Drosophila melanogaster: one gene and its partner. The protein of the gene in region 2 purifies or fractionates together with the protein of the main gene of each other region. This does not show direct contact. Each region holds a gene or a part of one and is shown on either strand. Other genes may lie near its edges. The genes, in order: grh and vvl.

Region 1 (15,778 bases), on a different chromosome or scaffold from region 2:
GAAAACGAGGCGAATCGGGAGCAGTTGGACCTACTCCTCCAGATTACACTTTCCCGAATATGTATTTATTATATTTTGATAGTTTTGGTAAATTAAATATACAAACAATCAATGTTTTAATAATTCAACAGTTTTCTTTACTATTTAATCTTTAATTTCATATAAAGTTTCTTTGTGATAAATGCAAAGAACAAATATTACAATTTTATTTAAAAGGTGTTTTGACTAGATTCAAATAACATATTTATGAATATAATGTTTATAATATAAATATAATATTTATAATAATATTTATAATATAATGAATCAGTTTCAGTATCTTTTGAATGACATCTTGTCAAATTAATGGGATCCAAACCAAAAAGACAAACACTCACCAGCCAAGACAATTAAGTAGTTAAGTTCCGGGCACCTTGGTTAACAATTCTTTCTAGATGACTAATAGAGCTATTTTTTGCAGTGTGACTGTGATTCGCCCAACTGTCAGCACACTTTCCCCCCACTCCATCCCGTGCACAGTGTTCATTAACGTTTCAATTTGTTCCTTTATTGCAGGTAGCGGCATGTCCTGCACCGTTTCCGAGCTGCCCAGTGGCTGTCGATTGCGCGGCATGACTGCATCCTCACAGCAAAGTGCCGCCAACAATAGTGGCAACAATGGGAATGGCAATGGGAACGGTGGCGGCGGGGGCGTCGTCGGAGGTGGCGGCAGCCTGGGCGGAGTATCGCCCACCGTGGGCGGCAGCGTGGGAATCCTCGGCTCCACGTCCAACGTGCTGCAGGAGTCGAACGCGACCACGTTTCAGCGTCCGCAGTCGCAGAAGCCTTGCTGCTTCTGCTGGTGCTGCTGCTGCTCCTGCTCCTGGTGAGTATGGAGGCCACCACCGAGTGGCCTATTTGTGCACCGCTCGAATCCTCTGACACGAAATCAATTTCTTTCTCGTTACCGCGCTGCCTTGACTCAACCGTTCGGTCATTAAAACAACTACCTGTGCCAATACCCATCCACTGCCAACCACATCCTGACAACAGGGCCAAATGGTAAGCACCTCCTGAAACACTCATGCATTCATACACCGAGAGAATCGATTGGTATTATTGGACTGTAAAGTATAGAATATTAAATGCGCAATTATTTTAAATACGTAATTATTTTACCTAGTTAGCTTTATTTTCAAGATATACTATAACAGATGAACCAATCTTTGGTTACATTAACATCGTTATTGTTAATTAATTTATTTATTTTTACTTATTTCAATATCAATTTTTTGCAAATTTTTTATTTTTTTATTTTATAAATCATTTCATTTTAAAGGTTGTCTGTTTGAGCCCTTTTTTTAAGAGAGTCGAAATATTATTAGTCCATGTTTCTCGCAGTGCTGTCATGGATGTGGCCACGGTTACAGCTATGGTTATTGCTTTGGCTTTAACTATTGCTTGGCTTTGGCTTTGGCTTCGGCTATGGCTGTGCCCACTGACATGGATATGGATATGGATATGGATAGGGAAGTTGAAATGGAAATGGACACGGTAAAGGTGGCCTTCTGCTGGCAGCTGGCAACGCTGCTGAACATCCAAAAGCTCTTTCTCTCTCCGCCATGCGAACTTTCTCCGCTTTCTCTCTTACGAAACGCTCTTTAGCACTGGTGCCGCTCTCTCAGTTTCTCCCGCATTCATTCACAATTCCGTGAGCAAGGCGACGGGCAGCGAAAAGCTCTCTGGAGGGCACTTTTCAAATCAAATATAAATAAGTATGTGGCGGCTCCTCCGCGGACTCCTCCAAGTGTTGCATGTTTTCGTGAATGAAAACGAAAGTCTTTTGCGACCCGCCGCCAACTCGCAACCCCCCGTCCGCACCTTTGTGTGCACAACTTGGGGGTATATCGCCCCGAAAACCCAGTTCAGAGCACCCGATGTCGCCTCAAACCCCCCCTGGCCGCATCTAATTTGATTCATATATGTATAGGGGTATATGTACGCCTGTGTGACTTTGATTAGGTATTGGGCCAGCGAGTCGCTCTGATAACTGTCGTCCAGATAAGAGAGCTTTATGTCAAGTTCGAGTACTCCGTTGCTCTGTCTCCGGGCTTCGAAACCCAAAACCGATATGCCATTAGCCTATCTACAGTGTTTATTCGAGGCATTATATCTTTATATCGCGTTCAGATATATGAGTAACTTTTAAACTCTCTAGCTTAAAATGTGGTAGAATCGCTTATGTTCAGTTTCTATGTTTGGTGCAAGTGTTTTATAAAATGCTAATCAGTAGCTTGCGCTATCTAAAAGTTTACGTTATCGAGCGGCTACTGTACTTACATATTTATGCTATTTTGTGCCAGTTAAAAATGAGTCAGGCTGAGCGCCAATTCAGCGATGAATAAAATTGTAGTATACTTTAAAGGGTGATTGATGAGTTGTAAAATCAAAATAATCGACTTTTAACAAGCAAACCCCCCTTGTTTTTTCCCTTTTTTCTTATCTTTACAGTCTGGCCATCAAGAATGCCGATGAAAATGCCCCCACGAAGCGAGATCTGGTAAATGCCGAATTCTTGGATGGCGAGCAGTGAGTTTGAGCACCAATCAACTTAATAAACTTAAGCCACGGAAAAACTACATTTATTTGTACATTACAGACCCACACTGGAGGAAATCCGCAGCTGGGGCAAAAGCTTTGACAAGCTGATGAAAAGTACAGGTAAGCCATTGACAATTGCCACCTTGATCCAAACTAATTGGTGGTTGGCCGAATATTTTCCCAGCTGGTCGAAAGGTGTTCCAGAACTTCCTGCGCAGCGAATTCAGTGAGGAGAACATCCTATTCTGGCTGGCCTGCGAGGATCTCAAGAAGGAGAATAGCCCAGAGTTGGTGGAGGAGAAGGCGCGCCTCATCTACGAGGACTACATCTCGATCCTGTCGCCCAGGGAGGTGTCGCTGGACTCCAGGGTCCGCGAGATTGTCAACCGGAACATGATCGAGCCCACGACGCACACCTTCGACGAAGCTCAAATCCAGATCTACACACTGATGCACAGAGACTCATATCCGAGGTGAGTGCTCTTTAGGCAAAAATAAAAGATACTGTATTTATACTTAAACGGGGTATCTTTTTCAACAGATTCCTAAACTCTCAAAAGTTCAAGACACTAGCTCAACTGCAAGACAACTCGAATGCCGGTTCCAAAGCGGATAGTCCAACTTAGAGAGGATGGCTTGATGTCCCGGATCGGATTTGGATTTGGATTTGGATCGAATTCAGTTGCGCTGTGTTGACTTCCGCTGTTGCTCTCCACTGGTATATCTCTGATTTTCCGCCCCAATCGCTGCTGCAATCGACTAAGCAATATGTATCCATTAGTAGAACCATTTAACCATTTTGCGAGCAGCCACGAAATCAGGATCCTGGTTGGGGCCGGTGAATCAGACGTCGTGCGTTCAATGTGAATCGGATTCCTTTCTCTTCCTACGTTCTAGTCGTTAGCTAACCAAAGAGTTAGGTATTACAAAATATGTTTTCACTAAGAAGCAGGTTCGACCACAGAAAGCATTTTCCAAAACAACCAAAAAAAAACAAAAAAACAGAAAGAAAAACAACAAGAAAAAAATACCCAGAAAGCTAATACGAAACGAGCGACACAAATAGCATCCATTGTAATACTAGTGATCTAAGAGACGTATTAATCAAATTGAAACCAAGATTACGGAACCCGCTAACTGATAAGTATGTTTAAACGTAATCATAAACCGCAACGTAACAGAAATACTTTTTCCAAAAAAACATTACAAAAAAAAGAAGGAAAGAAACCAAAAAATCTTTTTAAACGTATTACATACATAAACTTTATAAACTTATATATACAACACACCAGCATATATATATATATATATATATATAGTAAAATTGTTGTTTTATTTATGAGTCGAACTAATGTCCCGTCAGTTGACTAAGGACAACGCCAAGAAATAAAAAATAGTTTTTAGGAGAAATAGTTTCACGACTTTATTCTTTGGATCTCAGCTTAAGACTAAAAATCAAATGCAAATTGGATTGAGGAGAAGCCTCAGTATTTGAACAATATTTGTATTTCGGGAGAGCCTCGCTCTTGGGTTCTTAAGATTAGGTAGCGTTGAAAGAGGGCAGTCAAATCTGCTTAGGTCAGGCTTTAGGATGTTTACAAGAACGGCTGCGCTGCCAAAGATAAACGAATGCTGCGCAGCTGGGATACGTTATGGAAAATTACTAGAGTGCATTACTGATTTCTTTGAAATAATGGAAGTGGCTGGTTTGGACCACCCAAATACGTCACTATATATATATATAAATACGGATATATAGAGACATTTAACATGACTAGTTTTGAAATCGTTTTAGGTCATACGAGTAATGACATCGAAGCATTTTGTAAATACAACAGCAGACGGCAACACTTTCTACTTTCTTATGAAACCCCATTGAGGATCAAGTCCTTTCTTAAGCAAATCTTACAAAGCCTCATCTTGAGCTGTACTTTGAGCCAGACCACAACAGACCATACACACCCCATAGAGTCTTATCCAAATGCAAACCGGAACAAGCGCATAACTAACGTGTACTATATTATTTCGATGTCGAGCTGATTTCCAAGTCGAAAGAAGAACGTTTCGCAATATCACTGCCAACACAAATAAGAAAAAAAGAATCAGAACTTCGCAACAAAATATATCCACTTACAAATGTATTATGCAATTGTTTTTCGTTAGAAAAGCGGAAGTTCCAAGAGTTTCCTTGCATTGCTCCCTTTCTGCATTCAAAAAAAAAAACATATATTAAAAAACAGTATTATAAATAACAAAAAAAAGGAAACACAAGAGTATGGTTACATTTAAATTTTAGCAAACAAGTTGTCGAATTGAAAACTAAAAACAAATATAAAATATGAAAAAAACCAACAAATTTATAAGGAAAAACACAGAACAAACAGGAGGACTTTCGGTTCGAGCCCTGGCAAAAAGTTAACAATGTTATTTCGATCTTAAGTTGGTTTCCTTTGACCTTAGGTTGTTTGTGTTCGAGGCACAATATTTTAAAGTACAATATTAATGTGTGTACCTTCGTTGCGGGGAGCAGGGAATGTATTTTCGTAGCTAGTTGGTGTGCCTAGTTTTAATGCATCTATCGATACAAAACCCCATCCATCACACTCTGACATGAACAAGAACAGCAAACACAAGTATATTAACTTTACTAGCAATTAAACAACATCTAGTTTACTCAAAGCATATATGATTTCAATATTGTTTTCCACCAATCGAGCCAACGTTACTTACTTTTCTTATTCTCAAATCTTAAGGTGCTCAGCATAAGGACACCAAATGAGTTTTTCTTTAATATAGAGATATTTTTGGAATACCCCCGCATAAGTTCCTATATTTTTATAACAGCTTAGACACGATCGAAGGTCCGATTTCTGGATTCATATGGTAAATCACATCTCCGCCTAGTCCTTTGAAACTTGACTTTCACGCGTCACTCAGGCTGCTACTTGGAATTGAGAATTCGACAAACGCCTTTGCATTATAGTGTTCGATGAGATCGGCAGATCCGCGGATCGGTGAGAATCCGAGAACCAACATCAACGTTTCCATGGTTTGTTACATTAATTTTAGGCAATCAGGTTAGACAAAAATGTCCTGGACAAAGGGACGCGCGGAGGGATGGAATGTTTGTTTGTGAATGCTTCTCTTCGGTTTCTTACTTTTGCATAACGGACAGATATAAGACTTTTTGAAGAAAAAAACCAAATATATAAGTACATTTAATGCGATTGTTGTTTGTTTTTAGTTATATACACCGCCACACTCGCACACAAAACACACACACCGATACATGCATACATATATATACTACTTAGCGGTATATGTACAAAAACGTAATCAAGCATTAGTGAAATGTTTCGACCAGTTAAAAACCACAAATTAAATTTATTACATGAAAATCAACTAATGTGTAAACGCAAAAACGGCAAAATCAATAAATAAAAAATGGATTAAACTAAGCCTAAATTTAGTTTTAAACATTTAATATATTGCAACAATAAACCGAAATGAAAATAAAACTCAAATTCAAACTTGAGATGCAAGTGTTTGTAATTGGGCTCCTGGAACTCAACATATTACATTAAATATTTTTAATTTTATCTTTATTTATTGTTACTTATCATCATGAATGTACTTTTTAAATATTTACTGTAAAATTGCATTTTACATAAATATTTTACATTGCGTAGAATGTCTAGTGCTTCAGTGAAAACTAGCGCCCGCTGCTTTACGTTCTTAACCACAGTTCCACGCGTGCGCAGCGCCAAAAGACAAACAACGTGAATTGGTGAGTGCGGGATCCAAGTGGGGGGAGCTCGGAGGAAAGGAAGCTGGGGGGAGTCACCCTTTACCATGGCGGAAAGCACACAAGCACCGTCCGTCGGTTCGTCCGCCGATCCACACGACACAGCGCTGATTGCCGCGCCGCCTGGCGAGGTGAGGTTGTAGGAGCCCGACTGAGGTTAACCGAAAGCCAGGCCGAGAGAACGGAACAGAGAGCGGCGGAGGCTGCGGCGGCACGGCAGCTACTTGGCGTTTTCGATTGTGGTACATGCACAACTATTTTACGTATGTATGCCACACGGAGAAAAAAATCCTTCATTTCACAGTGCTAACAATTCGAGTTGATTTATTTGATTTTATGTTAAATATATGCAATATTCGTAAATTTTTTTAATATTTAATCATACAAAGTGCTTTAGTGATTTAGCTTGTGTATAGGAAACCTATCAACAGTATTTTATATAAGAATTAAGAGTTGAACTATATTAATTATCTGAACTGCTTAACCGCGGAATAGTTTTCAGAAAGTGCATCTTTGTATCCAGTAATTTTTTGCAGGGACTTCTCTTGGCATGCGGTGATCTCGGTCTTTCTCTCCACCTCTCTCCCGCTGTTGTGTGTGTTTGTTTCTCTACCTGATGCCCGATTGCACTACCACTTTCACGCGGTTTACAAGCCGAATGACAACAACAAAAACAGAACAACAAGGCGGCGAGTTCGAAAGCGAAGTAGAGTGAACCGAGCAGCGAATTCGAATTTTCGACGATGAATGCAATGCCGCAGCACAGAAATAAACGCAAAGTCCGGGAGATACGAAATGCAGGAGCGGTTTGCCCGTGTCGAGGGTGGCTGTGGCTCTCTTTCTTGCCCTCTCTCTTTCTCTCTCTTTTGATCTGCCATCTCCCTTCGCCGCAAGTGCATGCTGAAGTGGAAGGTTCGTTGCCTAAGTCTTTTGTACCTGCCTGCGTTTCGGCCTCTGCAGGTGCACCCACACACACACACACAGATGGAAGCACTGGGCTACCTGTGTTTTAGATCGCACTTGTATGGGTGTTTGGGAGTGTAGAGACAACATCATCGATTCGAATGAATTTGAGTGGCGCTGCGCTGCCGGCGTCGCTGCCGCGTTCGCTCAATATCAGTTACGAAAGAGATGAAACCATAAAAAGCAATAATAATCGAGCGCTCTCTAACCAGCGCCGCGAACACAGACATCACCTTGCCACCAATACAACTGCACGACGACGTCGGCAGAGGTGGCAGCAGCGGCGGCAGCAGCACATTCAACAGTTGAACAATCTCCAATTGACTCTTTGGGCATTATAGCCAAGAGCCGAGATCCAGCGACAGCGACGACAAGTTTTCCGCGCACACGGAAAGTCAGCAAGTTAATACACCGAAAATATATAGTTTCAAATCCGACTAATCGTTTCAAATCGAAATTACCTGTGAGTGCGCGTGTGTGTCGCGATATTTGCGAAAAATCCAAAAGTTTCTACGCCAAACAAACAGCAAAAAGTCGCGCTTAAACTTTTTCGAAATTAAATAAAACACACACACGAATTTCAGCCACGAAGAGGAAGAGAAGGCTGAAAAAGCGAAAAAAAACCTCGTGTGTGTGTGCGTGTGTGTTGAGTGCGAGAGTATCTGTGTGTGTGTACGTGTGCATGTCTCTCGGAGAGCGTGAGCTTAAAGTGTGCCTGTGTGTGTGCGCTTGCGAGCTGGAATGAGACGCCATCAAAGCTGAGCAGCGAATAATAAAATGCAAAATAAAAATAGTGATTAATAACAGCAGCCAGAACCAGCAGCAATAACAAATGCTAGTGCGGAAAGCGCGTAAAAAATAGTGAAAATACTCATAGAAAAATAGAAAAAACAACAACAAATTGGCTTGAAAACGCAAATGCCAGGCGCAACGCCCCCGAACCGACCCGCCCCCTCAACTTTTGCGCCCTCCAGTAGCAATAGCAGCAATATGAGCAGCAGCAACATCAAATGTTAGGCCAAAATGCACAAACCGCCAGCAACAAAGGCAGCACCAAGCGAACGAAACAACAACAGCTCCACATACCACAAAGAGTGGCACATTAGAAGCGGCCAAAAGCAGCCAGCCGAGAGCATTGTGTAAGCCAAAGGCCCAGAGAGCCAGGCTAAAAGCCCCCAGACGCACAACAACAACAACAACAACTAAAACAGCACAAAGAGTGGCGAAAGGTGCACCCACCAGCAAAACAGCAACAACGGAGCAACCAACAACAGCAGCAGCAGCAGCAGCAGCCACATTTCAGTTACAGCTCCAGACTCCCAGGTTGCAGACTCCCAAAGCAAACAGACTCCAGTCCACGATCCAGCTCCAGTTCCACCGATCCGATCCACTGCTCCAGCGTGCTCGAGTGCCATAGATCCTCACCAAGTGCCAAAATCCGCATCCTGATCCCAAGAGCTCAAGGCACCCCGGCCCAAAAGTGAGTAGTACTTAGCCTACCAAGAAGTAATTATAAACGCATCAGGCTATGTAGCCCTGGTCGGTTCATGGAGGGATTACACCGTCAGAAATATAGCACCCTATTGACCATTTGGTTTTCGGCTTATAGATCCCTTTTTTCGGGAGATTCCATCACAATAGCTGGTATTCCCAATAAAGAGAGCAATAAAAGCGGGCATTTTTTGGGCACTACTAGGGTGTAGAAACTTTTCAAAAATAAATATTTTTCAAAACTTGATATTTTTAAAAAACATATGGTATTACCAAACTATAAGATATATTTTAGCTAGATTTATACATAGTACGTCAAGTTGATTCGATGGAGTTAATAGAAAAATGGTAATTGGATATTATTTCGATATTATTTGACAACGACAATCTCATAGAAATATTTTTAAACAATTTTGCTGGAGATGTAGGCATAAAATCCATTTAGTTCGTGCGGTTTTAAATTAAAATGCATTCTGCATGTTTTTTTAATAAGTTTTATTATATCTATACGGCTAGGCATTTTAAATGATTTCAAATGTATTGAAACTAAACGATTTCATTACCCTGCTGGCCAGTGTTGCTTTTGAAAGCCTTCGTTCACAGTGGACACCCTGTATGTTGTGCAGACGTAGCCTAAGTCTCTTGGTCCCAGCCTCAACTCGTGTTGTTGTTGTTGTTGTTGTCATTGTTGCTGTTGCTGTTGCCGTTGTGTTGTTGGTGGTATCTTTCGCGCACACATTCCTCTTTGTTTGGTTTTATTTTGTATTTCGTATTTCGAAGTGGCCGCTGCGCAGCGGCAGCGGCAGGTAAGTCGCACAGGTATTGGTATTGCTGTCATATTGCCGTTGTGCTCCCAACAATACCTTGCTAGAGCGGGAGAGTTGGCCATAAAGAGCGGTAGCGAGAAGGGATCAAGACGCCTCTGTCTCGGTCTCGGCCTCTGCCTCTGCGTCGACGTCTACTGCGCAGCCTTCTTGTTCGAAAATCGATGATGTTGCCCAGTGTTTGTGATTACGTTTTCCCCTGGACTTTTGTGCTGCCTTTTGCCTCTTATGTTCTCAGCTTCTTTTTATTATGATTTTTATTTTCTTTCTTTTTTTTTTTTTTTTGATTTTTTCCCTTCTTGATGATGGTGATCAATTTGGGGCTGCGATTATGGTACAGTAAAATGAACATCTACGCAGCACTCACACCGCCAGACACACAGATACATTCAGCCGTGAGATACACACGCACACAGCGAAACAGGCACATGTAACCCACACACAAAAAAAAGGGGGAACTTCGTGAGAGAGTTATTTTATTTTCGTGTTCGTGTTAACGTTTATTGTTTTTCTTTTCTTTAGCCTTTCTTCGTTTCTTCGGGACTTCTTGACTCCGTCTTGCAGCCGTTCCCGTTCCCCTTCGCGCTCGCCACCCCTGCCCCATCCATGCACGCCTTTATTTCCCTGAACATTCCCAAATACACGGAGAGAAAAGGGGATGCATTGATGGTGATATTATGAGGATTTATTTATGCATATAATTATTCTTAAAGAGGCTAAGAAGTCAAAAGCTAAAATAAAATCGTTTCAATGAGTTTCTATATCATCAGATTAATAATATAACTCAAAGTTTTGAATCGACATGGCATTTCTTGCCGTGTACCATCTACCAACTCTCCAGTCTCAGTCATTGGTTATTGATGCCCAACAACTCTGACCGTTGATGTCTTAGGGTTACGCTGCGCATTTCTTCTCTTGTCTTTTCTCCACCTCTCCCATCTACCCCTCTCCATCCCCCCCCTACATTCACGCGAAGTAAGGTAAAGATACGTAAAATCCAAATTTCAAATTATGTCAAATCTTAATGGGATTTGAAATGGAATTGCTTTCGGTATTCACTGTGTATCTGAAATCGGTGGTATCGGGGGGAATGGTGATCGTGGTTTGGGGGATAATAAAGAACGAATGACCATAGATCTCGTTGTAGGCGTTGTCTGTATGCAAAGGTTAGATGGAGGGCTTATTTTCACATGTGGTGACTTCCAGTCGATAAAATCGAAGAAAATTAGTAATGATTGTTTTGTGAGAAGGTTGATTTACTCATATAGTGATCATACCTGCATAAACCCCAGGAAGCCAACGTAGGTAGATGTATTAGACTAGATTTATTTGTTTCGACACTTATATTGCAAACACACTGCTCAAGGAAAACCGACTGTTAATTTATCAAGGTTCTATAGTTATAAATATGCAAATTGCTTTCGCCGCGAAAGATTTCCTTATGGTGATCCAGTATTGAAGCAAATATGTCTATACGTTGTTGAACAATTTTTGCATATACGTTTTAACGTGATTTACAGTTTATTGTTAAGCCAATCAATAACAGTAATTGCTCATTAATTACCTTGTATTACACTTGTGTTCGACGACTTGTTTTGATGATCAAATAGATTTAAAACTTACACCTTACACAGTAATAAGCAATATTTAATAATTTTCTTGCTAATACTTGTAAAAAAATATATCTTGCTACATATGCTCTATGGTCTTCCGCACTTATAATTGTTCCTATAATTTTTGTGGCGCCCCCGGGTGGACATTTCAATAGGAATAATTTCTTTGAGAAAGTTTCTCTCCAGAAATATCGCTATTGAGATTAATTTGGATTATCTTCTCCACATCGCTTCCCTTTTCTGGTCATAATCTAAGCCAGCAGCTACTTTTCTTGTTGCTGATTTCTTTCGCACCCACCGCATGAGTGATGGATCTTGCCCAGAATCCATCTATCTCCGGCTGGAGGTGCCAGCTTCATTGCCATTCTCCGATCTCCGCCATTCAAGCGGCAAGTTGGAAAGTTTTGTACGTAGCCCCGAGGGTCTTCGCCTGGCTGGTAATACATCTGACCCAGTTCGATGGATGCGTTGGGATCACTTGCGAGCCGGGGTGTTGATGTTGGTTTAATTGTTTCCTAATTGCCTTTCCACATCGACTTTCATCGGGCAATCGTTTCTGATTGTTTGTGCCAAAAACTAGTCTATAAACAGCATGACACTGACCTCACCTACTAACGGAATACCCACAGACCGGGTCCGAGGAGCCCGTCGAGATCGTCGTGAACTCACCGGCATGGGCTGCCAGACACACCGAAAAAAAAAAAAAAACGGGTTTATCCACATCCACATCCCAGCAGTGAACTCTGCGGCGGCGGCACCAGTAATTTTTTGGCTTTATCATCAAACAACAATATATGGTGGGGGGGGGGGGGGGGGGGGGTTTGTGCAGGGGGACTGGACGTGGAACTGAACCTGGGCCTGGACCTGAATCTGAACCTGGACCTGAACCTGGGCACGCTGTGGCTGTTTCCGAGGCTGCGGCAAGGCGTGGAACCAGAAAGTCAGCCTTCTGGATTAGGTCAAGGATTGAGATGCCGCTGCTGCTACCGGTGTGTATGGTTTTGGTGTGTGCCGCAAACTGGAGAGTAGTACCTGTTCTCAACTTGTTGTCGATGTCGATGTTGTTTTGTTTTGTTTGGTTTCGGTTCAGTTCAGCTCAGCTCAGCTCAGCTCAGCTCTGTTCAGTTCAGTTCAGTTCAGTTTCAGTTTCGGTTTCGGTTTCAAAATCCCTCATAAACATGTTTTGCTAACTCGCAGATTCTGGACTATTAACAGCTGATGGACTGACTGGTTTTTTGAGACGTGCAACGTTATAGTGTACACTCTGTGTTTAATTTCACACAAAGCACCGTTGTAAACAAAACACAAATATGGCTGAGAAGTTGGCTTCTCTGTTGGCGTCGACAGAGCGACGTTGGCAGCGACGCTTCTTCCACCTGTTTGGCTGTTTTGTTGTTTTGTTGCTCTGCTGTTTGGTTGTTTTGTTGTTTTGCCGATGTGATGAACCGCACTGAGTTATGCAGTTACACGTTTGACATTTGCGAAGGAGTCAAACTAGTTCGACGGCCACGTGTGTGCAGGCCAACTCGGCTTATTTATTTGTATTTTTTTTTTTCTTTCCGTTTTCCGATTTTTTGTGTTTGCCCCTTTTTGTTTGTTTGTTGGTTTGTTGGCTGGCTGGTCGTCTGTTTTGTGTGCTTGCAAATCGCTTGTCGTTTGAACCCGTTCCGCTGGCTCTTCCGTTTATGTGTGCCTTCTTTTTCATTTTTTTTTTTTCACCTCATTTTCAATGGGGGTGTGTGACTGCATCGCCAGTGGGTCGAGGAGGGGGCGGGGGCGGGCGCCAAGCAGACTGCCGCCAGACAGTGCCACTTTTGTTGTTGCTTCAGCGGCCTCATCGTTAATTGAGAGTGGTAACGGGGGAGGAGGAAGGGAGGTGTTGCTGCAGGGCTGTTATTGCCAAATGGGAAACACCTTATAGCATATGACTCACACCGTAAAAGTGTTGGCTTAGACTAGCGTGAAAATATTTTAATTATTTCTAACAAAACTATTAAAATAATATGGCTTTCTCAGCTTGTTAGTTAGGCATTTAAAAAAGCAACAATGTTTTTAAGACTTGCAATGATGTAGAAAAGTTTTGTTTCAGAATATTCGTTATAAATTCTTTATATTTTTGCTATACTTTCTTTCTACAACTTGCACCCATAAACACAACACAATTGTTTTCATTACACTTCACACTGGAAACTTGACTAGGTCTTTATCAATTTCACCTTTTTTACTAATTATGAACCATTGTTTTTTGACCAATTCCAGTTGAGCTGAGAACGAAACGAAGGAAGTTCCTTAGTGCCATAGAAAGCAGTTAATGAAACAACGACTAAGACGAAGATCGACCATCCAGAACCGGAGGGAGCTAATTGCGAACGAAAGAAACCACAAAGTGCCTTCCATCAATCCGTTGATAAGTGATATTTATTATGTTTATACTTGCCAGCAGCCGAGGCAGCAACAGCAATAGCAACAACCATAGGGGATCACGGCATCGATGATCAGTCCACGACCAAGTCCTAGTGCAATCCGGAATCCAGTTCAAATTAGTTCAATAAGCCGTATCTACCACGTATAATGTCCACATCCACCGCCACAACGAGCGTTATCACGTCCAACGAGCTCTCGCTGTCCGGCCACGCCCACGGTCACGGTCACGCCCACCAGTTGCACCAGCACACCCACAGCCGCCTAGGAGTTGGCGTTGGTGTTGGCATCCTTAGCGACGCATCCCTATCGCCCATCCAACAAGGCAGTGGCGGCCACAGCGGCGGAGGTAACACAAACAGTTCACCACTGGCGCCCAACGGAGTGCCACTTCTCACAACAATGCACCGATCACCGGACTCACCGCAGCCAGAATTGGCCACCATGACGAACGTCAACGTGCTGGATCTGCACACGGATAACTCCAAGCTGTACGACAAGGAGGCTGTATTTATATACGAAACGCCCAAGGTGGTGATGCCAGCGGATGGCGGGGGTGGCAATAATTCCGATGAAGGTCATGCCATCGATGCGCGGATTGCGGCCCAAATGGGCAACCAAGCCCAGCAACAGCAGCAGCAGCAACAGCAGACGGAACACCAGCCGCTGGCCAAGATCGAGTTCGATGAGAACCAGATAATCCGGGTGGTGGGACCAAATGGCGAGCAACAGCAAATCATCTCGCGGGAGATCATCAATGGGGAGCATCATATCCTGTCGCGAAACGAGGCTGGTGAGCACATTCTCACACGGATCGTCAGTGATCCCTCCAAGTTGATGCCCAATGACAATGCAGTGGCCACGGCCATGTACAACCAGGCCCAAAAGATGAACAATGATCACGGGCAGGCGGTATATCAGACATCACCATTGCCGCTAGACGCGTCTGTATTGCATTATAGTGGCGGCAATGATTCGAATGTAATTAAGACGGAGGCCGATATCTACGAGGATCACAAGAAACATGCGGCTGCAGCAGCAGCTGCTGCCGGCGGAGGATCCATCATATACACCACATCCGATCCGAACGGAGTGAATGTGAAACAACTGCCCCATTTGACGGTACCCCAAAAACTTGATCCCGACCTCTATCAAGCCGATAAGCATATAGATTTGATCTACAACGATGGCAGCAAGACGGTGATTTACTCCACTACGGATCAGAAGAGTTTGGAAATATACTCGGGCGGCGACATCGGCAGCCTGGTGTCCGACGGCCAAGTGGTGGTCCAGGCGGGACTGCCGTATGCCACCACCACCGGAGCCGGCGGCCAGCCCGTCTATATCGTGGCCGACGGTGCCTTGCCAGCGGGAGTCGAGGAGCATCTGCAGAGGTGAGTAATTGCCCACAAAGGGCGTTTAGCTTAATGAAGGGTAGCTGTGGAAAAGGGTTGGTCCACTGCCAAGTGGTTTGTTATTGTGCTCGAAATTCCAGAGAGCTGTGACCCTTAATTAGTGGCTCAATCGGAGCTTGAAAGGGTCCGAAGTTTGGATACAAAGAATCGTTGTTACAGATTTGGTTTTTTATATATCGGGCATAATATAATGTTCTGTATATAACAATTTACAGATTTCATTTAGCTAGTAACCATTATACCATTTCAAAAGAGAACGTTAACTAAAAAATTAGTTATAGGTGTCTCGAAAATATTTTGTAAGATCGTTTATCTAATGTCGAGCCTGTGTTCCGGTTAATATCCTTAACCCACGGACCAGCCCACTCAACTATTCATTGAGCGCTGTTCTATCGGCTACATAAATCTCGACTAATTGCCTTCGTCATGGCGGTCAGTTGCAGCTGGAGTTTGAGTTGTTGCGGCTGCTGGTGGTAATGGTGGTGCTGGTGCTGCGGTTGGTTACCACATCAACATCTTAATTGGGGACAGCAGAGTTTTAGTTTGGATTCGGTTTGTGTCCCCCTCTGAAGTCGTGGTCCTTTCAAATCAATGTTTGTCATTTGCATTTCTCATGCATTTGAATTAACCGCTCTTGCCGCGCGCATTTTACTGTTAATTATTGCG
Region 2 (18,000 bases):
TAAAGCATCGCGCTCAAAGCGGTTTCAATGAAAACGCGTTTGTGTCCGAAGTCTTTTGATTTTTGCCACATCTCTGGAGGATAGTGGTTCAGTAGATACCATCGCCGGCTGAGGTTTTCTGCACGTGCTATATCCACCTCCGTCAGTCGCCCGCAGATCAAAGAACTCCTGACCACATCTCCACGCCAAAATAAAAATAAATATAAAAGTTGACCATGTCACGTCAGGGCGTCAAGTCTTTGTCGGCACAACGTTTTTTTTTAAGTTTTTCGCTCCTGTCACTGTCAGCTAAAGTTAATAACAATAACAGTAACAGTATAAGCAATTTCGGTCGCAGCGGCAAAAACACAATATTCGGCGCATGCGCAACTTTCGGGCGTTTTTCGGCAATCGTTTCGATTATAAAAATTTCATTTATGCCTTATGGGCGATTTGCAATTTCTGCGCAATTTGGTTCGGCGTGGCGCGTGTGACTTACGAAATAAAAATGGCGTTTATGGTTCAATTAAAATTCATTTAACCAGAGTTGTAAATAAAAACAGAAATTATGTAAAAATGAAGGATTATTTTTGTTTGTTTTAAATACCTACCTGGTAGACTGAAAACATAAATGTAAAACTGATTCTGCTCTTCATCAAAATCTAACAACATTAAAATATTATTAAATATAAACTTTAAACAGTCTTTCATTTCAAGCGAAACTTTTTAATTTGCAATTTTTATGGCAAGGTCAGAGGAAACTCACCACTGTAGAAAAACCCACCCCTTGGGCAGATGGTTCGTGGAAAGGCTAAGTCAGGGGTTAGAAGGGTTCACTTCCGCTTCCTATAAGAACCGAAAACACTAAGAACTCGGGGCATAAAAACAATTGGACGAGTTGATTGGCCTTTGATGTGCCAGGAGGCATTTGGTGTGCCAGGAAAAAAGTGTCAGTCGGAAAATGTGTGCCACTGTTTTTGTCGCTAATGATATGCACCCCTGGGCCTAAAAGGCCACGACCCCTTGAAATGCGATGGATATCGTTTGACGCAATCGTTTTTTTTTCAGTTTTTCTGTTTTTCGAAGGAAAGCAACCAACATGCGTGCCGTAGTTGTGCCATAGTTTGCAAGTTTGGGCACTGTTTGAAGTCCCAGTCACCTGGGCACAGGAAAAGGAAGAGTCGGAGAACGCGTTGCCCTTTTGACTGCATTATGCAAATGTTCCATGAAAAGAGATTTTTATTGACATATGTTTTTCCCTTTTTGCCGCCCGGCTTGTAGGTATTTCGTTGAATTTCCTGTCGCCACTTCGGTGGGTGTGAACAGAGTTTTAATTTTCATACATTTTCCATTTTCCAGCCATCATTCTTGGGTTGGGTTTTCAGTGACTGAGTGCTTTGGTTTGCATTTCAAGCCGATTGAAAGTGAGAGGACAGCACACAAAAGTGAAGTTTATGGAGATTTAACGCCTTAATGAATTATTTATTTTTCTAGATTTTCTCATTAGCTGGAGTTTTCCCAAATAACGAAACCAAAATCCAAACTATTAAACTCTAATCTCGAAAGTGAGTTAAGCAAATGCAGTGTTTGGGTTTTAAAATGAAAATTGATTTGATTTTATGATGTAAACATAAATATATTGTTTATATGATGGGTAATATTGTTTATAACTTATTAATATATTTCTCAGCGAATTTTGGATTTTTGATTTTTAAGTTAACATTTATACATGTTCATGCTTTTAAATTTACCCTAGTAAAGTTAAGGCCTTTTTGAACTGTTCTTCTTTAATCGGCTTTATCATAACCTACTTAACTACTTAACGAGCGTTGAAAGCAACGCTTACCCCACATAAAGGCAAAAAAAAAAGTTGGAAAAAAATTGTGTCCAGGTGTTGCAACGCTTTTTCGTACCTCCTCTATGTCGTTCGCCAATAATTCACGACCCTGACGGGTTCGCTCTGCCTATGGGACGTGTCACAGCGCCGCAGAGATAAATTAGTTAATAAATAAAAGGGAAAAAATGCTAACTAATTTGCATATTTGCCCTTTGCGCGGTCTCATTGACAGTTGGGCGTCGGGCTTCAATGCCAAAAGCCAATGAGGCGCACCAAAAATGCATTTAAACCGAAAACGGGGCGATGGGTCGTTCTTCTACCCTTTTCGATAACAATTGCCATTTTGTGCTCCGTTCGCATTTTTACTTTATGTTTTTTGTTGCTGCTGGTCTGTGTTTTTTTGGCGGGACGCAGAAATTTTCTATTTTGGCTGTGCTAATTTGCATATGACAGCAAGGATGTGCGTGTGTGTGCTGGAATTTTGGCAAACTCTACTTCTGAATTGCTCTGCCAGCTTGTGTTGGTTCGTAGGTAGCGAAAGTGAAAGGATTCGGGCCGAAGACCCAAAGGATAAGCGCCCTGATTGCATACCAGAGACTTTTTTAACGGCCGCTGCATGCAAAATTGCAAAAATTGAAATTGCAGAAGGGCCACACGAAACAAAAAAAAAGAAAACGAAAGAAAATGATAAATGGTTGGGTTGCATCCACGGGAGATTCGGATTTGCCTATATGCAATTTGCCTACACGGATAGATAGTTGACCTTGCCGAAAAGCGTAATAAAGGGTTGCTCAAGGGTTGTCTTCTTCGGCGGCCTCGTCTTCAGGACTTCCTCACCATCCTGTTGTTTTCTTAAGTGCTTGTCTCTCCGCTATTTTTTTTTTTTGGCGCGCAAAAAATAATCGAGAGTTGGGCATATGGTAACGAGTTGTCCGAGGCTTCTTCTTTTTACGCAAATGGATTGCAGCTGATGATGATGCCTTCGATGTGTCTCTCTAATGAAACGTTTGTTTGCAAATGAGCAAAATAGATAGATCCGGAAATGGGGTTGGGGTGAAGGATGGAAAGGATGGCAAGGGGTTGGGAGGACGATGCTAGGATTATTTGCATGAAATTTACTTTGAAGATGATGTAGGTAGGACAAGGTAGGGATTAATTGAATGCGAGAGTTTTAATCGATTCTCCTTGGGTTACCTATCAAATCAACTGGGCTTCTAAGGGTTAACGTTCAAAAAAGGAGATCGTATTATCTGTTAATGGTTGAAGGGAATCATGTTTCAAATGATTAGATGGCTTATGGATTTTCTGTCTTTAGTTAAGGTTACATATTAATTTTAGAACACATTAACTTGTGCCCAAGCTAAAACTTCTTTGTTTGTTTATAGCTTTTATTAATTTGCTTTTAATTGCCTTTTTTAAATTAGAGTTACGACTAACACTTAAAGATATACACCCACTGTGCCGAGTGGCATATGCAATAAAATAATGCTCTTCATGCCGAAAATCCTGTTCAAATGCATTAAATACAGCTTAAACCGATAAAATTACTTTGCATTTGCCACAAATTAGTCGACGTGTTTTATTTCCCCCCACAAATATAGAGATTCGCATACTTATCGAGTGTGTGAGCGAGTGTGCATTAATTGTATTGCGCGATAAACAAAGCGATCAAAAGCAGACCAGTTTATATGTTTTGATTCGGAAATTATGGCACTTTAATTACCAAAGCAGACGTTGAGGTTTTCGGCTCTCGCTCGCACTCGCACTCGTTTGCCGGTCGGGATGGCAAATTAATGCAAAATAAGAAAGAAAATTATGCTAATAATTATAAACAAGTGCGGCCCGAAAACGAGGTGTGAGATAGAGACAGCCGACCGGAGAAGGAGACGGGTAGATGGTAGATGGCCATATAAAAATGCAGCCGAAATGCTAATCGAGCTCATTATCATCCAAATCAACGGCGCCGTGGACGCGGCCGCCACGAGATATCTTCCATTCATAAACGCAGCGCTTAGTTGTATATATATATGTATATTTTCCTGCTCATTTTTTACCATCGCATCGTTTTTTATTTACTCGCATGCGGCGCATAATTATGCAACAAGTCCTTTGCTGGCCACAAAAACCAAAAACGCGGCGCGTGCGCATTTAGCATATGGACAAAAAAACGTAAAGCAGAAAAAAGTGACAGAATCACCGAGGGAGGATGGCCAGCAGAAACAGGATTTCTTCCTTCGCTTCGACATTTGAAATTTAAATACCAGCGTTTTTTTTTTGTTTTTTGTTTTTTACTCACTCGCTGTTGTTATTTAGCGCCGCCACCTAATTATCATGTAAATTTTTGTCTAAGGACCAACAATGACTGTGACTTTATTTTGTCACTGGGGTTTTTGGGTTGGAAACGCTTGGCTTATTAATTATGCCCAAGTGCGTGGCCAAAGGATATGGTCATGGAAAAAAAAACGTAAACAAATTTCATGCAAATACGCTCGAACTTGTCTGGCTTGCGTCTGCTCGGCTGGATGACCTTAGTTTGCATAATTTTTTGATTGAGCTCTTGACCTGCCTCAAAGGGGTCTAAAACTATGCTAAGTATTTTGTGGTGGGTGTTTATGGGATTCTTGGGCTAGTTATGTGTGCCAGGATTTATTAAATGAGAAAATATATGAGAGGGTAGCTTTGAACATTTTATGCATTAATTAAATATATTTTTTAAGTGGGAAAATTCTGAATATATGTTGACATATTTAAGGGAAATAGTGGGAAAATAATAAGTAATTTTTTTTTTAGAAAGGTAAATTTGGTTAAATAAGCTATTTTATGTCTGCATATATACATTTGACGGCAATTGGCTTTGAAGGCGAAATAGATTTCCATTGATTGTGTGCAGAGTTTCATTCATTCATTGTTTTAGGAAACATAAACTTTTACGGATATTTTTCATTTGATTCTTCGCATTGTCCCATAACGCTCCGCTAAATCAAAAAACTTTAAAACTGCACAGCCAGAAACAAAAGTCAGTATTCCAATGATAACTTTAACGATGGCAATTCCTTTAGCTATGCAAATGTATCGCTAGTTTCGCATTAATTTCGCAAAACTGATCATAGAATCAATGAAACTGACGGATGAAGTGAATCAATATCTTTTGTCAGTGAAACATAATTTAACTGTAAAGCAGTCAAAACACAGTCACAAACACAATGAGCAAAAGAAAGATATCAAGGTGGAAAAGAAAGGTATATTTTATGTAGGCAGCCAAACGAAACTTATATGCATATGAAAAAGAAAATTATAAAATATTCATCGGTAAAATGGTTATTTTTTTAAACGAAAATTTTAAATATCATTTCATACTAAACACTAATTTACTTTCTTTAATTTAATTAAGCTTCACTCACACATATTATAAACTGAAAAAATACAAATAAGATTTTCTTATATAACACATTGGTTAAATATTTAATGGGACACGGTCTATATAAAAAATATTTTCAACAGAATTCAGCGAAATTTGAATTGTCCAAATTCAAGTTCAAGATTTATTTATTTTTCATATTGATAATCAAATATTATTTGCTCTTAAATATTTTTACTATGCACACTTTTTTGGATGAACGATAAATAGTTAAATATTTAAACTGTTTATTTGTTTAATTCCTTTTCTACGCCACGTTAGTAATATGTTCTTCAAATCGCAATGGCAACCACTCCAGATGTCCCCCCTCCCAAACAAACACACACACTCACAAAGCCAAGGGAAAAGTTGTCTGGCCAAGGAGCTGCAAGGAACTGAAACAAAGCTCCCCGAACGGGAGAGAGAAGTCCTGGACGCAAAAGCTCCAACTGGGAGATGGCACTACGTGTAATCCCTGTGTTCCCGATAGCTGGACTCGAAGAAATCGAGAGATGCGCCGTCGCCGTTCATATCATCTCTCGCCCTCTCTCGCTCGCACTGGGCACTGGGCAATTAAAAATGTCACTCTGCATGGGAATGCACTGAGGGAACTTCGTAGAGCCGGCTCTGGTATTATTTTTTCATCTCATATATTTTTTTTGTTTTTGTTGGTTTTGGGGGCGTAACGCTGGAATACAGCGAGCCCAATAGAGCGCAAGTCTCCCTTCCAGTTGCTCGGTAGAGCGTCTATCTCGCTTGCCGCACCAATGGCGGTGCTGCTCGCACACATGGAACGCTGGAAGGCCAGCGGACAAACTGGTTTCGCTCGCCGGGGTGTGTGTGCGTACTGCGCTCGTTGGTGTGCGTAAACGTATCGGTGTGACGTACCGCCGAGCGTCGAGAGCGCTCAACGTAGAGCTGCGGTGCGAGACATGACGTTAGTTCACTTCGATAGCTCTACGAGTCTGCACGTGAATTTTCCCTGGGCTCTCGGCTGTCTTGACTGCTCAAATCTCACAACACACAATCTCAAATCTCAATCGGCATCGAATCGGTCAAGCAACCCAGTAGAAACACACATTCGAGAAATCTCAATCTGTATCTGAATATCAGAGTTCTGCGTTCTGACCACTGAGTTCTATCGATGATTTAAATCGTTGCGAAAAATCGCCACAAAAAGTGCCAAGTGTTAGAAGTGCTAAATGAAATTCGAAAATAAAAAAATCTAAATAAATAACCAAATAAAACGCAGTTAGCTCAACGCTAGTCAAGCTAAATAAACGTGAAACCCCAAGCAAATTGCCGTCGGATTTTTTACTTAACCCAAAGCTGAAATAAACTTGTTGAACGCGTTCGAGGGCCACGCCCCCAAAAAAGCAAACGTCGAACCCAAAAAAAAACAAAATAAGCGAAATAGAATATTTTTGCGCCTGCCACGTTGCCCGTAAAAGACGTCAAGACGGTTGCCTCACGGTTCGAGTGGAATGAGCATAGGGACCCTGGTCTTCCTTTCGATCGATCGGTGTACAAAGTCGTTAAACTGAGCCCCAACTTGGAGCCCTACCCCGCCAGCGTGGAGGGCCTGAACAGCCCCAGAGCGGTGGGGATGGCCGCGACCTCGTACATGACGCCGCCGAGCGGTGATCTGGACATGGCCCTCGGAGGCGGTGGCTATCACACCTCGTCGCCGCGCTCGGCGGCTGATGCCGGTGAAATGAAGTACATGCAGCACCATCATCATCATCATGCCGCTGCCGCGGCAGCTGCCCACCATCAGTTGCCCTCGTCGCCATCGCCCAATGGCCAGGGCAATGGTGGCGGACTTGGATTGGGTTCCGGTTCCGGGTTGGGCTCATGGAGTGCCCTCCATCCGGATCCGTGGATGCAAACCCATCATACGCACCATCTGCCCGCCGCCGCTGCCGTTGCCTCGGCCGCTGATACCGTCAAGCAGGAGATGTCGCATCTCTCGCAGCAGACGCGCATCCAACAGGGCATGGCCTCGCCCCATGCCGCCTGGCATGCCCCCCATGCGGGACACTATGCGCCAACGGGCGGGTCACCGTTGCAGTACCATCATGCCATGAACGGAATGCTCCATCATCCGGCCCATGCGGTTGCAGCGGCCCATCATCAGAGTGTGGCGCCACTGCATCATACGCTGCGCGGGGAATCGCCACAGCTGCACATACACCATCACATGGGCGGCGGCGATCGGGATGCCATAAGCGGCGGCGAGGAGGACACTCCCACGTCCGATGATCTGGAGGCCTTTGCCAAGCAGTTCAAGCAGCGCCGAATCAAGCTGGGCTTTACCCAGGCCGATGTGGGCCTGGCACTGGGCACTCTCTATGGCAATGTGTTCTCCCAGACGACCATCTGCAGATTCGAGGCACTGCAGCTGAGCTTCAAGAACATGTGCAAGCTGAAGCCGCTGCTGCAGAAGTGGCTGGAGGAGGCGGACTCCACAACGGGTTCACCCACGTCCATTGACAAGATCGCCGCTCAGGGGCGTAAGCGCAAGAAACGCACCAGCATCGAGGTGAGCGTGAAGGGGGCACTGGAGCAGCACTTCCACAAGCAGCCGAAGCCATCCGCCCAGGAGATAACCTCGTTGGCCGACTCCTTGCAGCTGGAGAAGGAGGTGGTACGCGTGTGGTTCTGCAATCGGCGGCAGAAGGAGAAGCGCATGACGCCGCCAAATACGCTCGGCGGCGACATGATGGACGGCATGCCGCCGGGCCATATGCATCATGGTGGCTATCATCCGCATCACGATATGCACGGCAGTCCGATGGGCACACACTCCCACTCGCACAGTCCGCCCATGCTGAGCCCACAGAATATGCAATCCTCGGCGGTAGCGGCGCATCAGTTGGCGGCCCACTAGCAATCAGAAATCCAGGAGTCGAACTCAGCTGCAGCTGCGTCCACTCCTGCATCCCTCAATAGTCTAAGCCAGCAGCAACAGCAGCAGCAGCAACAGCAGCAGCAGCAACACCAGCAACAGCAGCAACATCAGCAGCAGCAGCACACACCGAATACACCATCCTCCAGTGCGGGATCATCGGCTACGATGACCAGCCAGGTGATGTCGCCGCAGAGTCCGCTGGGCAGCTCCTCCGCTGGCAATCAGGCTAACAACAATAATAATAATAATAACAACAACAATAGCAGCACCAACAATAACAATAATAACAATAACAACGAGGAGCAAGTTAAACACCACCAGCAGCAACAGCAACAACAGCAGGCATCCAGCATAGCAGCCGCTGCAGCAGCCGCCATGTACATGGATCCCATGCGCTACCAGCATCCGCACCACCCGCATCCGCATCCGCACCAGCATCCGCACCTGAATCCCGCCCACCATCCGCACCTGTTCCACACGAGCGATCAGTTGCAGCACTCGCAGCAGCAGACCGTCGGCGGCACCAGCAGCAACTCCCAATTGTCACCGGGTGCCGGCAGCAACAGTGGCCTGCCACTCCAGCCGCCCAGTTCCGCCTCGCCGGCCGGATCCGCATCCTCGGTGCTTGGTGGCCATCTCAATCTGAATCCGCTGCACCAGCACCACCACTATCAGCACCACCATCACCAGCAGCACCACCACCACCAGCAGCAGCAGCAGCAGCTCCACGCCCGCCGACTCTTCGAGTTGAGTCTGCAGTTTGGAGCGGCGGCGGCACCGGGAGCGGTACGGCACTTTAACAGCTTTGGCGGGGCGGGCGGAGCGGGTGGCGAATAGCATTCGTCGGCCGCCTGGTTCGGCTATGAGTCCTCCTAGGATTCGGCGTCGAATGGGTGGCCGCATTTCAAGCGGGAGCAGCCCTAGAATCGTACAGTCGAACTTCTCTAACGCGAACTCAGTTGGTTCGATTCGAATGATCGCAAAAGTAGCTATCTAAAATTTAACTAGCTGTGAGCATTTCAGAATATTTCGTAAGTCATAAGAATATTTTTGAAATTTTTCAATATTTTATTTCTGCGGTGTTTTGAGGTTTTTTAAAATTTGAAAATAGCATTTCACAGTGTTCTTAAAATCTGTTACTAAATTGGCGACTGAAAAAAATCATTTTAAACATATATACTTAAACAATATGAACCATATTGAGTTCCACGTTAGACAAGCTCGACTGTATGCAAATCTTTAAAGAATAGAAATAAGATGAGGTCCGTCGATGAGGTTGAGAAATCATCTTTTTTACCAGTGCATTAATCTGTGTTAAACTTCAGCTTAAATAGGAGCAGGGAGTGGAGGAGGTGGAGAAGATGGGGAGGCTGCCATCCACCATTTTAGTTTGTTTTAAAGTTTGAAAAACTTGCTTAAATTAAATCAAATTAACTAAATTAAAATGTAAACGAAACATTTCCTTTGTATAAAAGCGAAAGAAACACGCAATTCAAATCAAACGTGAAACCAAGTGATGTTGTTTTAACCTAAAAACTAAATGCTAAAAAATTAAACTAAATGAAAATAAAAAAAACAGAGAAACTAGTTAAAAGTGCGACCCAAGTGTTAAAGAAACCAAAAAAGACAAGCAAAGAAAACAAATTCCTCAGCTGCTCTCCATAAGCAAGGTAAATGTTTCCATGCCCAAAAGTCCACAAAATATTTTTTCGTTCAACACTTTGTCGCCGTTTAGATCAAGTAAAAAAAAGGCTCAATGAGAAAGAAGGCAGCGGTGGGAGAACTCGGTGGGTTCTAGATAGGGTCTAGGTTCTTAAGCAAGCCGTGTTTATATATATTATATATATATAGCCAGTAGATTGTACTCTAAAACATCTATAAACGAACAGAACGTAAAACAGAAAAAGAAAAACGTAGAATTTAACGCGCGGCGAAGTAAACAAAAATACGAGATGAAGGAAGGATTAAGTAAAATATGAGAAAACCCCAAAACATCTGTAAATAAAAACTTACAGTTAAGTCATATTTTTTAGCTTTAAATGCAATTGTAGATTTTTTAATAAGCCCCCCTAAGAGAAAAATCATTAAAAATACAACCACAAGCGAAAAAAAAATAAACAACATTTACAAAATATAAATTTTAATTTTTAGGCGGTAATTTTTAATGAATAGGCACGTGAAGTTTAGTTACTTAGTACTGTACTTTCTATATAAGCAAAAGGAAATCGAATGGAAAACAAAAATGAATATAGCTAAATCTTAAAATTTAAACAAACCAATAATAATCAAATACCACAAATGCTAAATTGTAATATATTAATTGATGTACATTAAAACAAAAGGCAAACTAAATGCTAAACGACAAACTTGAAATTATTTCAAAAACAAAAATAAACGAAAATTGTGTAAAAAAAATCATCTTTGTGTTTTTTGATATACGTTTACATTTATGTCTACTTTTTCTATTTTCTTATACAAAAACCTAAAAAGAAAATCAAACCTTATCCTTTGGTGTAACTTTATATATTATAGAATCTAACGAAATTTTTGTTTAGTGTACTTTGTTTTGGTATGTTGAAAACTATGCTGTAAGAGCGAGAGAAGCGAAGCCGAATATTTAAGATTAAGCCATGCCCTCAACTGTATAATAAATTATATAGACGTACATATATATGCAACAGCAAAGTCAACAAAGCGGTGCATTTCCACCTACACATACACACACCCACACACCGAGGAAAACCAAGAAGAAAAAACTGAAAAGCAAAAAAAAACTCTTAAAAAAAAACAAATAAAAAAGAATATTATTCGAAAAAAAAACGCACCGTCCTTTTATTATTATTTAATTAGCGGCATCATTTATTTGCATTTACTTTCGTCCGCTTTTTGGTTGTGAAGTTTATGAGTCGTTGGTTTTGACAGTTTTACAGGAGTTTTACGGCCACCTTTTGCAGATGCTGGTTACGATAGGGCGTTTATATCGATGAAATCGCGATAATTGCGTGTATTATTAATTTCGTTTGTTTGCTTAAAGTGTTCGAAAAGCCATTAAATAATTAAGTGGGCACATTATAATGTGATTGCCTACGTCAGAGAGGGAGCAATTGGCAATTAACTAACAACACAACTCGCAGATCGAGTAATACCGCTCGTTAATGAAAGTTGCCATTAAAAAGCGTGGCATTTCGTGAAATTACCCTTTTATAAGGCCTTAAGTGCTGCTGGAAGCACCTGATGGATCTCTGTTTGTCCCTGGTCAATGCGCAATCGTTGAACAAAACAAAAAGAGCACCGACGTCAATCGAAAGGCGATTAAAGTGACAATTTGCCAGATTTACGCGGTCAATTTAATTTACGAAATAAGTTGGGTGTATTTTTCGTTTGCAGAAATCATTCAAAACTTCCCAATTCGTCAAGGTATTAGTATTATGTTTAAGTCCTTAAATTTTTAACAATTTAAGTTGTTTCCAAAAATGAAAAACAAATTCATGAAATACCATTAAAGTCGTCTCATTCCACCTGCACATTGCCCCCTGGCCGCCTTATTGTCATCTAATGTACCGCACGCTTTTAACATTTAATTTATAATTTAAATGCATATTTCATTGGATGCTGATTAACAATTTTGTGCCGAAATGCTATTGGTTAGTAATTCTGCATAAAAATTGCATCAGCCCGAAAAATACATATACATACATACTCGTATAACCCGAGCCCTCTCACTCGCTTTTGTGTGCGAAATAAATTCGCATAATTGAAAGCCAGTTTTAGGCTTAAATATATAAACAACAACTGCCCCAAAAACAATAACAGTAACAAATAACAAATAATAACAATAATATATATTGTACAGAAGCGCAAGTGCAATGATTTATATTTATGCGACGGCAATAATGCCGTTTAAACAAAACGAAAATATCGGTTGTTATTTTTGTTGAAATTGAACTCTTGGCGCGCGTGGTTTATAATGTTTCAATAAAGCGTACGGAAAATGAAAAATAAAAATGAAAATTATATTTTCCGCACCAAACTAAGCAAAAACACCCACGCGATGCGCTTCATGCACTTGAACAATATAATATCGACAGTATTATATTATCCACCCATATAATTATTCTCTATGCTCTCTTAATTATTTTCTAACAAAAAAAAAGAAATAATAGACGGCGAAATGAAATGAAATTTAATGGGGAAACAACATGGCTGCCCACAAGCCTATTTATACGTTTATCTATTGCCACCTGCCATTTTGGGGTAGTTGAACACACACACACACACGCACACACCCACTCGTGTAGATGAAACCTGCCCCTCGGGCTATATAAACTTTTATATGGAAAACGGAAAGGAAAGGTTTTTTTTTTAATGGTCATGTGCTAGTTGAAATGCGCTTTAAGAATTTATGGGATTTTCGAAGGATTGTCCAAAAGAAATTGGGGGAAATTCCTGACTGATTAATCATGGCTAATGGATTTGCTGTATTTAAATGTGAGGTAATATGAGGTATTTTCATATTGCTACTTATTACATATTATATAAATTTGATATCTTTACTTATTTACTCCTTATCTCACACAAGTTTTAGACTTTTTATATTGCCGATTAATCTACCTAATGGCCTATTTGAATAGGCGAATATATCAGCTCTATATATTTATTTTCTCCTCTGCCTAATGAAAATTATACTACCATTTTATAGTCACTCCATAGTTAAAAAGCACATTCCACATTATTCGATGATAAAGAAAAGCCACTAATCTACGAGGGCAAATTGTAGTTTTCATTGGTTTTAATGTTGCCGTGCGTGCAAAGTGCGACAGCGGCGGCAACACCCCCTACACACCCTCCCCCATATGTACATATTTAAGTATATATATATATATACCCCGACCATATCTATAGAGAGAAACCCCTCCTCGAGGCAAAACTACCGACATTTTCATTATTATTTCGAGTGGAGTTGGTTGGTTTTTTATTATTTCGCGTGGCAAAGCAACACGCCGCCTGCTTTTGTACATTTCACTGTGTGTGCTTTTTGGGCTGCGTGCATACAACCGTGTCAATAATTACCCGTGGGACTGACACGACCAACGAGAATCATTCAAATGTTGCAAAGGCAGCAGAAGCGGCAGCGGCAGCAGCAGACGCAAAAGCACCAGCGTTCCACTAACAATGGCTAAAACAAAAGCTACAGCGGCGGCAGCTGAGAGACACTGAAGCTGGTGAACCGGCAGCAGAAGTTGGTAACGGAGAATCGGGCCACAATGGTCTCGGGCATATTGCCATTGTGGCATTACTGCCGCCACTCCGGCAAAATGGCTGACTCTAGTCAACGTCACCCGAAAGCCAACTGACGAACTGGCCGACTGACCATTCCACAGGAGCGGATTAACTATGGGTTTTGGTCCGGGCTTAGAATTTGGGAACTATAGAAATTACAACATTCAAGCATCAAATTAAAATTTATATATTAAATTATTTTTACGCTTGCCAATTTATTATTATTATACGCTTAAATAATATTATATTTATGTACTATATTATAGTATATCTACAAACATAGTTTACTTAATAACTTAATAATACATAATAGCTTGGTAAGCTTTCGAAACAATATTTAATTTCTAAATTTTCGAAATATATTCTTCTCAGCTCTCTAAAGGTCCGAACTCGTGAAATCCGCCCCTGTGATTGGGCCGCACTTTCCTTCTGTGCGACTTTGGCTTTTGGCTCCGGCTGGGCGACTTTTCCACTGACATTCGGAGTGTCGGGGACTCTGTGCTCATTATCTATGCTTCCTTTGGGAATTTTCATTTTCTTTTTCCGCGCTCCTCTGTTTTTTTCTTTTCGTTTTTTTCGTATTTTCAAAGTTCTAGCCGTGTGCGTTCGTGTGCGACATTTGTGCAAAGGAAAACAAAAGAAAAGACGAATGAACAGCACTATCCGGCTGGAAAGTACTACGTACTGCGTATATAAAATTATATAGGTGTACTTGGCTATTCTTGTTTCGTTCCGAGCCAAATCAGTGCGTTTGGTATTGTAAAACCTTGCGCTAATTACAAAATTTATTGCCTCTTAACGGAGCCCTCGAAAACGTAAGTCAAGAGCGTTGGAAATTCTTTTTAACTACCCACAAAAAAATGAGATGTATGTATGTATATGTAAAATGGGAGATACTCCCACCAGCGAATTAAGCTGTGACTGTGTGTAAAGTGCAGGTAAAACAAGCCACAAATTGGGATGAGACAGGTGAAGGTGGTGGCGGTGGCGGTGGTGCTGAAGGTGGTTCTGTGGTGCGGGGGCAGCAATTGCCATTCGACACCTTCGACTGTGGAGCACCTACATCAGCTAGACACCTAGACAAATAATGCGGGCAGGCTATATATGGACGATCATAGTGATAGATATAAGTGAGCTTCAGGGAGCATCAAGGGGACGTTTGAAAAGCTTGGAAGAAATGGGCAGATTTATTGGGCAATCTATTAGTTTGCTCGCTATCAAAATATTTAACTAGTGAAAGGAAACCTTTTAAAAGCATTTTCAAAATGTTAATTTGTATTTACTTGTCTACAAAGCAGAGGTGCCCAACTAAAATGTAGCCGCTTGTTTCTATGGTATTAAGTGATAATTGTTGAAAGTAAATAAAAGGTAAAGAAAAACAGTGTAATTTTGAAACATATCTGTACAATGAATTCCAACTGTTTGTTACGATTCTGTTCTAAACATTGTTGAGTAGTAACTCAAAAAACTTCATACTTGGAATCCTTGAAACTTCGCTAACTCTTTGATCAAACCTCGCAGTCATCATCTATGACAAACAAACAAACATCTCTCTAATAAGCAAACGCAATTGATGGCTGAACCATGACATTGTCGCCGATCTGCGGTCGCCGCGGATTGCCATTTAAGTCTCATGTGTGCAGTCCGCAGTGTTGGCCAAAACTGTTGAAAATGCGCGGGTTATTAATGGCTTTATAAGCTGCTGCCGTTTCTACACCTCGATCCGCACCTGCGGGGCGGCATTTGGCAAGCAAATTGGCAGCGGTATTAGCCACTAGTTCAGTTGTTGGCTAAGAAAAGTCCAATCCGGAGTTCGCGATACCAAGACCCCCGCGATCGTGCTGCGCAGTGTCAAAGCCAACCACTTTGCGATGTGTTTTAGTTTATTTTTTGTATTTTTTTTTGCCGCTGTTATTGGCAATGTGCTGCTGCTCTTTTCGCTGCTGTTTGCGCACATTTTTAACGTATAAATAAAAAGGCTAATGGGTGGGGTGGCTGGCGCGCAGATAAAGTCAAACTCTGGGCCACCCTGGCCCGGGTCTCGAATCCAATTCGAACTATTAAAACGATATGGGAAAAAACTATGTTCTCACACACAATTTTGCAGACAGTCGCAGACGTTGCTTGACATTTGGCCAAACGTCTGTCGGCCAAAACCGGCAACAAGGTCGCCCAGCGCTCAAGATAGCTATCTAAAAGCAAATAGGAGGCGCATGCACTGGAAGAAATGAGGGCAAAAGGGGGCTGATATCTTTCTTCATTACTGAATACTATAGCAGGAAGATGTAGTAGATACTAAGATAATTTCACACAATGAATTGCTAACCATATCGGCTTACAATATTTATAATTCCCTCCAAGTTGTGGTGTAAAGAGTAAAGTAGTTATTTCCAGTGCATCTCAGGTGCAGTATAGAATTCGAGAATTTGAATTTGAAACCGGCAAAAGGCCGTGAACGAATGCCATCGGCATCCAGCGGCGGTCAAGTGCATGGGGAGCAGCTGATGCTGACGCCGATGCCGCAAAACGATCCAATGCAGTCTGCTCACTGGGAGCCATAAATCTCTTAATGAAAACCGGCAATAATCTTTTTGCCGCCGGCGAAAATCAAACTGAAGCGAACTGCAGCGAACCGAGCTGAGCTGAGCTGAGCTGAACTGAACTGAACAGCACATCCCGGAGTCAAGCGCGAAAAAATGCGCAAAAGAATTAATAAACAAAGTAGCCGAGCATGTTGGCATTCCCCCTGCTCAATGGGGGATGAAGAATCCAACTCCGACTGCAGCTCCAGCCTTAGCTTCAACAGCCATGATGCAGTAGGAGTTGCAGCACTTCGAGAAGAGGAGTAAATGTGGAAGATGGGCGAGTTATTTGCTGCGCATGAGCGCACGTGCTGCCAGCCTTAATGCTTTTTCAGGAGGAGAGATGTCGATGCCACGCAGTCGACGTTTTCCGTGGCCGCACGTTTTTGCACTCGGCCAACGTTGCGCATGCGCATCATCAAAAGGCAAACAACGGCAGCAGACGGACGGACGACTCATCAAAGCGCCAGCATCGACTGCATTTGCATTTCTAATTTTCCTAGCATTTTTCACATTTGCAATGCACCGCGAGTGACGCCGCATAGGCTGCTCGGGGCGGCGTGGAAATGGCAGAGGTGGAAAATGCCGAGGCGCCGCTTCGCCATTTCCCTATGGCCACTTCTAGCACCGTATAAAAATGGAGTTAGAAGTTCGAGTTCTGCCGAATATAAGCAGTGCATATTTTTTTTTATTTTTTATTATATATTACACGGTATATAAACTTATTTAGAATTCAAGTCTTTAAGTTTACAAAGACATCTCTCTAGCCGGCATCTCCGCCATCGTTACACATTGATCACATGCAAATCTTTGGTAACAAAAATAAAACCGTATAAGCTGAAAATACCTCCCAGCGATGAGTATTGTCGTCGGCCTGTCTAGACTTTCAAAATCTGACAGATCATCATCAACCGAAAAATCCCAAAAAATACGCTTTGATTCAGCTGTAACCCAGCAATCGTCGGCAACAACAAGAGCGGCAAACAAAGTTCAAACAAAAAAAAAAAAAAGAAGAAGTTAAGTTTCGTAAACGCATTGGCTTTTTGTTTCTGCTGCTGTTGCTCTTGTTGTTGGCCAAATGTTGTTAGTGTCGGCGGCAATTTGACTACCGAAAAGTATTAAACAAAAAGCCCCCTCAGCATGGCTGAAAATCAATACAAACAGCAGACCGGCAAACGGAGGCCAGCGAAAAGATTGGAAAAAATAAAAGCTTAAATATTTGCAAAAGAAATCGCTGAAGCTGGTAAAATAAAGGTAAAAAAATATAGGTATAAAAGTTAAACAACAACAAGAACAACCTTTGGCCAACGCGGTAGCCATAAATCAAAGTCGCGTTAATGAAAGCGCAATTAAAACGGGCTTCCACCGTTTTTTTGAGGGGAAATTCAAGAGGGAGTGCGGCGGTCAGCATACATACATATTTGGGCCAACTTAAAGCGCAGGAAATTAAATTTTATGATGCCGAGTCGAGTCGAGTCGCATTGGCAGCTAAGTTGGCCATTTGGCCATTTGGCCATTCGACCAGGCCCAGACCCAAAAGCCAACAGGCCAATGCAATTGTTGTAGTTGTCGCGCCACCGTCGCAGTTAAATTTTTGCATTTTGCAGTCGTACTCATAGTTTCTTTGGCCGTCTGAAAAGTTGCACAAGGTTGACGGCTGCGAAAACTTTTATGCAGCGCCACTGACACCAACACCCACACGCGGCACCAAGACTCCAAAGTCAGGCAAGAGCGGCCATAAGCCGTAAGCCATAAGCCCGGCCAGACTTGACCTACAAAAAGCCGCGTCGTCTGTGATTATGGCGCCCTGGGCGTATCGCAGACTTGCGTTCTTTACATCGCCGATTTTGTCCTCTTTTCTGACCGCCCTGCATATACATATGTATGTATTTATTTCCCTTTGACAAACTGTGACGTCACAGCTCGCACCTAAATGAATAGATCAGCTAAATAATGGTATAAACCCAAGTTGAAAAGGAGTAGTCTGCTGCATAAATGAGCTCGTAAAAATCAG

What was found.
Region 1: the proteins of vvl (region 2) and grh purify together in Drosophila melanogaster (affinity purification with western blotting; one study listed by BioGRID). This does not show direct contact.

What each region holds. Positions count from the first base shown.
Region 1 is NT_033778.4:17,794,564-17,810,341, forward strand, and holds the start of grh (grainy head), read left to right. Parts: upstream 1-7,682; 5' UTR 7,683-8,828; intron 8,829-13,535; 5' UTR 13,536-13,847; coding exon 13,848-15,091; intron 15,092-15,778. Other genes in the region: Dhit (double hit), read left to right, coding at 564-865, 1,033-1,041, 2,491-2,568, 2,639-2,700, 2,765-3,053, 3,122-3,206. UniProt on the Drosophila melanogaster protein: Transcription factor that binds a CNS-specific regulatory element of the Dopa decarboxylase (Ddc) gene. Also interacts with sequences adjacent to other transcription units, including Ultrabithorax (Ubx) and engrailed (en).
Region 2 is NT_037436.4:6,784,007-6,802,006, forward strand, and holds vvl (ventral veins lacking), read left to right. Parts: upstream 1-6,151; 5' UTR 6,152-6,819; coding exon 6,820-8,103; coding exon of another isoform or gene 8,104-9,048; 3' UTR 9,049-10,935; downstream 10,936-18,000. UniProt on the Drosophila melanogaster protein: Binds to a DNA sequence element required for the expression of the dopa decarboxylase gene (Ddc) in specific dopaminergic neurons. Could also play an early role in specific ectodermal cells, and a subsequent role in the embryonic nervous system.